2 linked regions of the Ovis aries genome follow. The protein of the gene in region 2 interacts with the protein of the main gene of each other region in a pairwise test. Links are inferred from orthologs where the notes say so. Each region holds a gene or a part of one and is shown on either strand. Other genes may lie near its edges.

Region 1 (3,478 bases), on a different chromosome or scaffold from region 2:
ATCACAATGATATTCGGCAGGTATGCACCTTCGGGGAAACAAAGGTCAGAAGCCTTTCAAGATAAAACAAGGAGGCAGTGGCAGAGCCAGGCCTGGGGCTGGGGAATCGAGCAAGCAGTGCTACCGGGTGGCAGGCTGGCAGGATGACGGAGGGAGGAGTCAGTGTCCTCAGGGAGCCCGCAGTCCAGGGGAGAGGTGCGGCCCTGGCCCTGTGCAGGGTGAGCACAGGCCTGAGTCAGCCAGCCAGCCCCAGCTCAGTTTCCTCTCCTCCCCAGGGCCCAGCTTTACAGTCAGCCAGCCCCACCTCTGCCACTGACCCTCCGTTATCTCCCATCTGTGAAATGGGTTCACAGTGCGCCTCTTCCCCCATCTGTGAAGTATCTGCCCAGTGCAGGGCCATACCCACGCACAAAGCTGTCTAGAAATGCCCATTTCTGGGCCTCTGCCTCTCGCACCCAAACCGCGGCCACATTCCAAGGCTGAGCTGCTGAACCAAAGGCTCTGCCTGCTCAGGGCTCCTGCCCTGTTGAGCCTCAAATCCAAGCTCAGGGTCAGAAATGAGGTCAATGGCACAGGCTCTGGAGTCAGATGGGCCTGTGTGTGAATTCAGCCTCTGCTGCCTTCCAGCTGTGTGACCTTGGGTAAGCGACCTCTCCTCTCGTGGCCTTGGTTTCCTCACCTGAAACATGAGAACAGGACCCAGCTGCTAGGGGCCTTGAGCTCTAGAGCCACATGGCTTGGGCTCATGTCCTGGCATTGCCAGTTACTAGAAGTGTGAGTTGTCCACACTGTATAAATTGCCTGACACACAGTAAACACTCAAGCTGTGTTTGCTGTTCCTACAAGTTGACATCTGTCAAGCGTGTACATGGCCATCGGCAATCAGTGAGATTCTGGAGGACTTCCTGGAGGAAAGGATACAGAGCCAGCATCGCTGACGACCTGCAGCACCACAGTTATGGAGGTGCGGGGGTGCAGCGCTCCCAGTACCACCGCTTCACATGTGTTTCTGATCAGCCGCTCCCGGCTCTTCTCCGCTACGCCTGCGGAAATCAGGGATGGGGTTGGGCTGTCAGGCTCTCCCTGTCCAGCTGGCTCACCTGTCTCCATGTGCCCCACCCAAGCCTCCAGAAAAAAGGGATGACAAAGGAGTCCTAGTGGGAGGGAGGCAGGGCCTGACTGCCACCCACTTGATGCCCGCCACCTCCAGCACCCACCAAGGGAGCCTCCCGGGGGAGGAGAACCTCAGAGCTCTCCCATGTCCAGTGCTGCTGTCCATTCCCATCGCAGTGCACCCAGCCCTGGGGAGTGAGGGGGGCAGAGAGTAAAAGCGTGGAAAAACAGATTAATGGAAAGGAGGAGAGATGGAGCCAGGAAAGAAGGAGGGAGCGGGGAGAGAAGATGGAGAGAGACAGGGAGAAAAGTGATAAGAGACGTACAGGCAGAGAGCTAGAGAAAAAGAAACAGTTGAGGGGAGCTGAGAGGAGTGAAGACCAGAAAGGGCAGTGATGGGGACACCGGGCAAGAGGACCAGTTACCAGGCAGTCCAGTTTTCGGCCTCAGGATCACTTCCAGCGTGGCCTTGTTGAAGATCTCTTTGCTGATCTTCACCTCGGCTGGCCCATACACGCCGGCCAGGACGGAGGTATCCCCTGGGGAGAAAGCATGGGCGAGCTCACCTGCATCTTCCCTGCCTCTGGGGTCTGACACGAGGAACTTAACATTGTGGGCCCTGAGCTGGGTGGCCAGGGGTCCCCACGTCACCCTCACTCTGGCCCACCCCTTGTTGGCAGCGATTCCTTGAGCATTTGCTTCATGTCTCTGCTTCTACTTCCTCATCTGTAAAATGAGGATAACTACAGTACGTCCCTGGGACTTTCCTGGTGGTCCACTGGCTAAGACTGAGCTCCCAGTGCAGAGGGCCTGGGTTCAACCCCTGGTCAGGGAACTAGATCCCACAAGCTACAGCTAAGAGTTTGCATGCTGGGACTAAGACCCAGTGCAGACAAAAAAAAAAACAAAAAAGCAAACACCTATAGGACATCCTTCACAGCTATGAGGATTAAATTAGATAAAAAGAGAAACACTTAGGATGCTGCCTGCTAAGTTGCTGAGTGCCCAAAGGACTTTAGCTACTATTACTAACTTTAACAGGAAGTTCTTCCTGAGTGCTAACCCTCCTTCTTACTGCTGCTGGTCCCAACTTCTCCTTCCAAAGCTCCCCCGAGGCCGAGTTCTCTTCCCTCTAGCTCACGTCCCCAAACTCTGTAGCAGTCAGGACACCTGAGAAACGGATGAATATCTAGGGCTGGCTCCTGACACCTGCTTATTTCCTCCTGGCTCTGTAATCTCAGCTGATTTTGCTTACTTCTCTGGGCCTCAGTTTTCCCATCAGCAAAATGGGTAGACTGGACTACAAGAGCAGTTTCCAAACATTCCTGATCCTAACTCCCTGTAAGAAATACATTTTAGACTCAAATACACTTCAGGACCCAAAACTCACACAAATCTGTGTGGATATAAATGGAATGAACGCCTCCCAAAACAACTCTTTACTGTTACTGCTTTGACGTACTCGGAGATTTTCTACTATATTTCAGTTACAAAGAACCATTAAAGGGGACTTGCCTGGTGGTCCAGTGGTTAAGAATCCACCTTCCAATACAGGGGATGCTGGTTCGATCCCCGATCAGGCAACTAAGCCTGTACATGCCGTGGAGGAACTAAGTCCATGCACCACAGCTAACACCTGACCTGACCAAAGAACAGAAATAAGATGGAAACAAAAACAAAAACCCACTAGTGAACACAGTGGTTCTCAACCCCGTATGCACACTGGGCTTACTGCAGAACTTTGAAAGATCTAGATGCCCAGGCCCCTCCTCTAGAGAGCCTTAATCCCATTGCTGGGGGCTGAGGCTAAGGCACTGGGAGCCTCAGAGCTCCAACAGGCCATTCTAATGTGCAGCTGGACCTGCAACCTGCAGTGGGAAGACATGGAGCTCCAGCACGGTTTCAAAACACAGGCCTGCAACCAGAATCGCTACAGCAGATCATTTAAAAATACAGAGGGCTGGCATCCCTGGGTTGGGAAGATCCTCTCGAGGAGGAAATGGCAACCTGTTCTAGTATTCTTGCTGGGATAATCCTATGGGCAGAGAAGCCTGGCTGACACGACTGAGCAACTAATCAATAAGGACAAAGAGGGCTAGCCTTAGTTGGCATAGGTGGGTTCTGGGGCTTGGCATTTTTAACCTCACTGGAGAGTCTAGTGAGGGTTTGCAGAGGACCCTGCTCCAGGGTCCTGGGCTTTGGGGTTTTAGAACATACAAGGGGCTCAGTATTTCTTTCTTTTTTAGAACACACAAGGGGCTCAGTATTTCTTAAATTCTAAGAACCTCCAGGCACCTGCACTGAGCAAGAGATCTAAGCCTGGAGAGGTCCCTGGCAGAGGCTTTTTTGTTCTGGGGCTGGCGAG
Region 2 (4,356 bases):
AGAGCAAAGCAGAGACAAACCTAGATCTCTTTAAACGGATTGAAATAACAGTGACATTCTTAAAGGGTCAAATTATACAGGAAACATATACTTCTGCCCTCTTAAGATGAGTAATATATTTCTTCAAAGCAGGAAAAAAACTTTACAAACATCTTTTCAGCTTTCCAGTATATAATCAGCCTCAGAATGGCAACCATTTCCTATTGTCAGGTAGTTGGTGAGAAATGCAAAGTACACCTGCAACCAGCGGCTCAGGAAGATCAAGGTGAACACCAGGCCTTGGCTCTCACTTCTACCATTCTGTTACCAGGTACGGAAAACTTCAGCGAAAGGACAATTAAAAAATACACATTTTAGCCAGGTATTTGTATGGATGTGAGAGTTGGACTGTGAAGAAGGCTGAGCGCCAAAGAATTGATGCGTTTGAACTGTGGTGTTGGAGAAGACTCTTGAGAGTCCCTTGGACTGCAAGGAGATCCAGCCAGTCCATTCTGAAGGAGATCAGCCCTGGGATTTCTTTGGAAGGAATGATGCTAAAGCTGAAATTCCAGTACTTTGGCCACCTCATGCGAAGAGTTGACTCATTGGAAAAGACTCTGATGCTGGGAGGGATTGGGGGCAGGAGGAGAAGGGGACGACAGAGGATGAGATGGCTGGATGGCATCACTGACTCGATGGACATGAGTCTGAGTGAACTCCGGGAGATGGTGATGGACAGGGAGGCCTGGCATACTGTGATTCATGGGGTCGCAAAGAGTCGGACACGACTGAGCGACTAAACTGAACTGAACTGAACCCCCTTAAAGGTAATGATTAATCCTATGATGACGTTTGTTTGTTTGTTTTTTCCTTTCTTTCTTTTTGGGACCTAAGCGGGGGAGTGGGGGGGGGAGACATCAGGGTGTCACGAATTTCTATCAAACAAGAAAATGAATTAGCTTAGCAGTCTTGGGAAAACTATGAAGTTATGGCAGCTTTGCAGGTGTCCCAAGATTTGGGTTGCTTTACAGGAATAACTGAATTCATGGCACAATTAAGTACTGGTTCAAGCTCATGCTAAAATATCCTAAGTCCCTTTTACTTTAAATCATTCTAAGTATGCTTTTCTTTGGAAGGCATCAACTGCAATATGCCACTTCCAGAGATGCATTCCTATACCAACTAGACTTTAAAAATGGTAATTACTCTAAAGGCACACCCTTGAGCAACCATCACACCGCACTGAGCTCCTGAGAATATTCTGGAAGCATCACTGTGAACAGTTGCTTCTCTGTAGGGGAAAAAAGTGAAATTAAACAGAAGCAGCAGCTTCTGTATGGAGAAACACGGTTTGACACTTGGAATCCTTTTCTACTGCAACAGGTTTACCAACAGCTGCGTTCCTCTGGAGTTTTGAATCTGTGAATCCTTGAGTATCACTCCGCCTTTTTTTTTTTTTTTTTTTTAATCATGAAATACCTTCTGTATACCGTACGGCAGGAAGAGAAAGTTTGGAAATTACATGCATAAGACTCAGCTAACCCAGATGACATACATGCAATAGCATTACTTGAAGAACTTATTCAACCCAATCCTTTGCATCTTGTTAACCAAGGCACAGAACCTCTCCAAATTTTGCACCAAAGAAAAGAGAGAATGCAAGGGTCTTGCTGCAGCTCCTGGGACGCACTGAACACCACCTTGTTACAAGTGTATCCAAAGCTCCCAGCACCAGGGACTTGGGCGGACTGCTTCTCTCTGTTTCACTGTCCCTGAAGCTTTCAGAGGAGACGGTTGTGCTATGAATGCAGACCTTACAAAGCAGGCCAAGAAGATGCTTCGTACCCCCAAGTGCTCGCGGTGCCGGAACCATGGCTTCCTGGTACCAGTCAAGGGCCACGCGGGCAAGTGCCGCTGGAAGCAGTGCACCTGCGAGAAGTGCTACTTGATCACCGAGCGCCAGAAGATCGTGGCTGCACAAAAGATGCTCAAGAAGCAGGCCTCTGGAGAGGAGCAGGAGGTGGCCCTGTGCGCACAGGGACCCCAGCTGGCCCCCGGGGGCGCGGCCGCCACCCCAGGCCCAAGCTTCTGCCCGCTGCTTCCGCTTGCCCCTTTGGGAGACGCGCAGCCGGGCCCTTCGGGCCAAGCGGCCGCCTGCCTCCCTGAGAGGCCCCCGCGGGGCCAGAGCCCCAGCCCGAGTGCCTTCCAGCCAGTTCTGGGCGGCCACAACCGCGGCCACGTGGGCCTGAGCGAACAAGCAGCCAGGGCCAGGCCCAGCTCTCTGGAGCCCCAGCTGACGGCGGAGGCCGCCGGCCGGGGCTACCCCGGCTGCCTGGAGCTGCGCAGGCTGCCGCGGCCTGTGCCGAGCCCGCCGTTCACCGACTTCGGTAAGATTCCCGGTGCCCTGAGCCTTTGTCCCGCTGTTGGTTCCTCTCCGCCTCCCCACTTCCCTCACTCTGGCGTCCCAGGCCAGCCGCGCGTATGGGCCCTTGGGGTGGGGGTGGGAAGATGCTTTCTAGAGGGAATCTTGCTTCGGGATACCTTTTTCTGAGTAGGCATTTGGGTTTGGTGCCTTTTTGCAAGAAGGTAAAAAGAGAGAAAGGAATGGGTGGTTCTGAGGGGGTAATTTTAAAAAACATTTAGCTATAGTCTCTGCTTTCCCATTCCGGGAGAAAAAAAAAATGGCCGCACACACACAAAAAAAATGGCCCCCCAGTCTGCTTAGCTGAGGCTCCTCCTCCCAACAGAGGGGATCGCGGGAGAGTGGCCATATTGCGCTTGCGCAACTCTTCCCACCCTTTTCTGGTGCTGGAGGCTCCTCCCCCAGAACGTCCTCGTGGGTGGGCCAGCGCCTTATGACTGCACCTGCGTCCCTCCGCCCACCCCTCCCCCATCTTCTGTGCCCTAGTCAGCTTGCTCCTCAGCCGTGCTCTGGCCCAATGGCTGTGTATGGGCGTTCTTCCCACCTGTTTCCCAGGCATGGATGGGAATGAGACCTCTTTTCTGCTCCCTACAAGAGAACAGTCTATTGAGACGTGGTTGCTGTTTTTCTCTCCTCCCTCCACATGCATAAATTACATTGTTCCCTAGGTATTGTAACTTTCACTATTATAATTTCAAGTCACATGTAGGTTTGAGACTTTTAAAAAGGGGCTCATTTTGGGTGCAGACACGTGTTTTCTGGTTTTCTCTATGGCAGTGTGGTAGAAAGAGCGCAAGTCTGAGTCAGGACGCTGAGGGGCTGCTCACTTGGTAATCTAAGGCAAGTTCCTTCCTTCTGTGACAGCCTCGCCCCTCTGTAGGCTAAGGGGATTGGCTTGATGCTCTCCGAAGGCCAGTTCTGCCTTCTGGGACGTTCTAGGAAAATATAGGTCCCTAGAGAACTAGATGAGGAAGACAGATCTGAAAAGCAGTTCTAGGAGAAGGATACCTTTCTACGGATATGGAGCCTTTCTTTGTTCCATCAACTGAGCACTGTGTGCCCAGCACTAGTGATGAAAAGGTGAAGAGGGGTGAGTCAGATTCCTTGCCCTCAAGGATCTTGTCCTTGTGAAAGAAAAGGACATCACAGAGAACTCTAATAACCAGTGGTTTAGCTGTGGTCTGAAGGAAGATCAGGAGCTGAGCACTGAGGATTCAAGAAGGCAAGTGGAGTTAGGAAAAAAAGCCTTCCAAGCAGAGGGGACAGCATCTGCAGAGGCCCTGAGGTGGAGGAGAAAGAAGGCGCTACTAGTGATCAGACAGTGAGGCTGGAGTGAAGGCAGGAATGCAGTCTGCGTGGGCTTCATGGCTGGGCCAAGGACTTTTGCTGAGGGCAACAGAACATGGTTGAAGGGTTTAAAAAGCAGGGAGGATCAAAAGCATAATGGATATGGGAGTTGTCTGTGAATGGATATGAGTGTTTATTTATACTGCTACCTTCAGACGATAATATGGTGCCCTTTTTTCTAGCTCCATGTGTTTTTAACACTTCCCTCGTTGCATGTCTTTTCAGGGCTCCCTCTGAGCATCAACTCAGATTCTGTGGTGGGGTCTGAGTGCCTGGAGAGAGAACCTCCCAAGCTGTACCCCAGCTGCTCCAGCATGCACCCCTACCGCCCTTTTCCTCTGGGCTACCAGGATGCGTCCCCAAGTGTGGGGATCCCTCTGCAGCAGAGTTTCCAGCACCTGTCCTATAGCCACTACTATGGAGGAGGCTTGGTGAGTCCCATTCCTGATATTTTCGAAGTTCCTCCCTATTTCAGCTGCCCTGGCTGCTTTAACAGACTTTCTCCCAGGCAGCCAGCCATTGTGCTCACTCTATACCAGGACATGGGCAATGGGTGGAAGGATACAGCATTGGCCTTGTATGCTGTGCACCTCTGGGAATGCACATGT

What was found.
Region 1: the proteins of DMRTB1 (region 2) and EXOSC5 interact in a two-hybrid assay, tested with the Homo sapiens proteins (2 studies listed by BioGRID). The link is inferred for Ovis aries from reciprocal best matches to the Homo sapiens genes DMRTB1 and EXOSC5.

The regions. Positions count from the first base shown.
Region 1 is NC_056067.1:50,089,577-50,093,054, forward strand, and holds part of EXOSC5 (exosome complex component RRP46), read right to left. Parts: intron 1,653-3,478; coding exon 1,539-1,652; intron 1,044-1,538; coding exon 922-1,043; intron 1-921. UniProt on the Homo sapiens protein: Non-catalytic component of the RNA exosome complex which has 3'->5' exoribonuclease activity and participates in a multitude of cellular RNA processing and degradation events.
Region 2 is NC_056054.1:27,981,492-27,985,847, forward strand, and holds the start of DMRTB1 (doublesex- and mab-3-related transcription factor B1), read left to right. Parts: upstream 1-1,459; 5' UTR 1,460-1,780; coding exon 1,781-2,366; intron 2,367-3,973; coding exon 3,974-4,179; intron 4,180-4,356.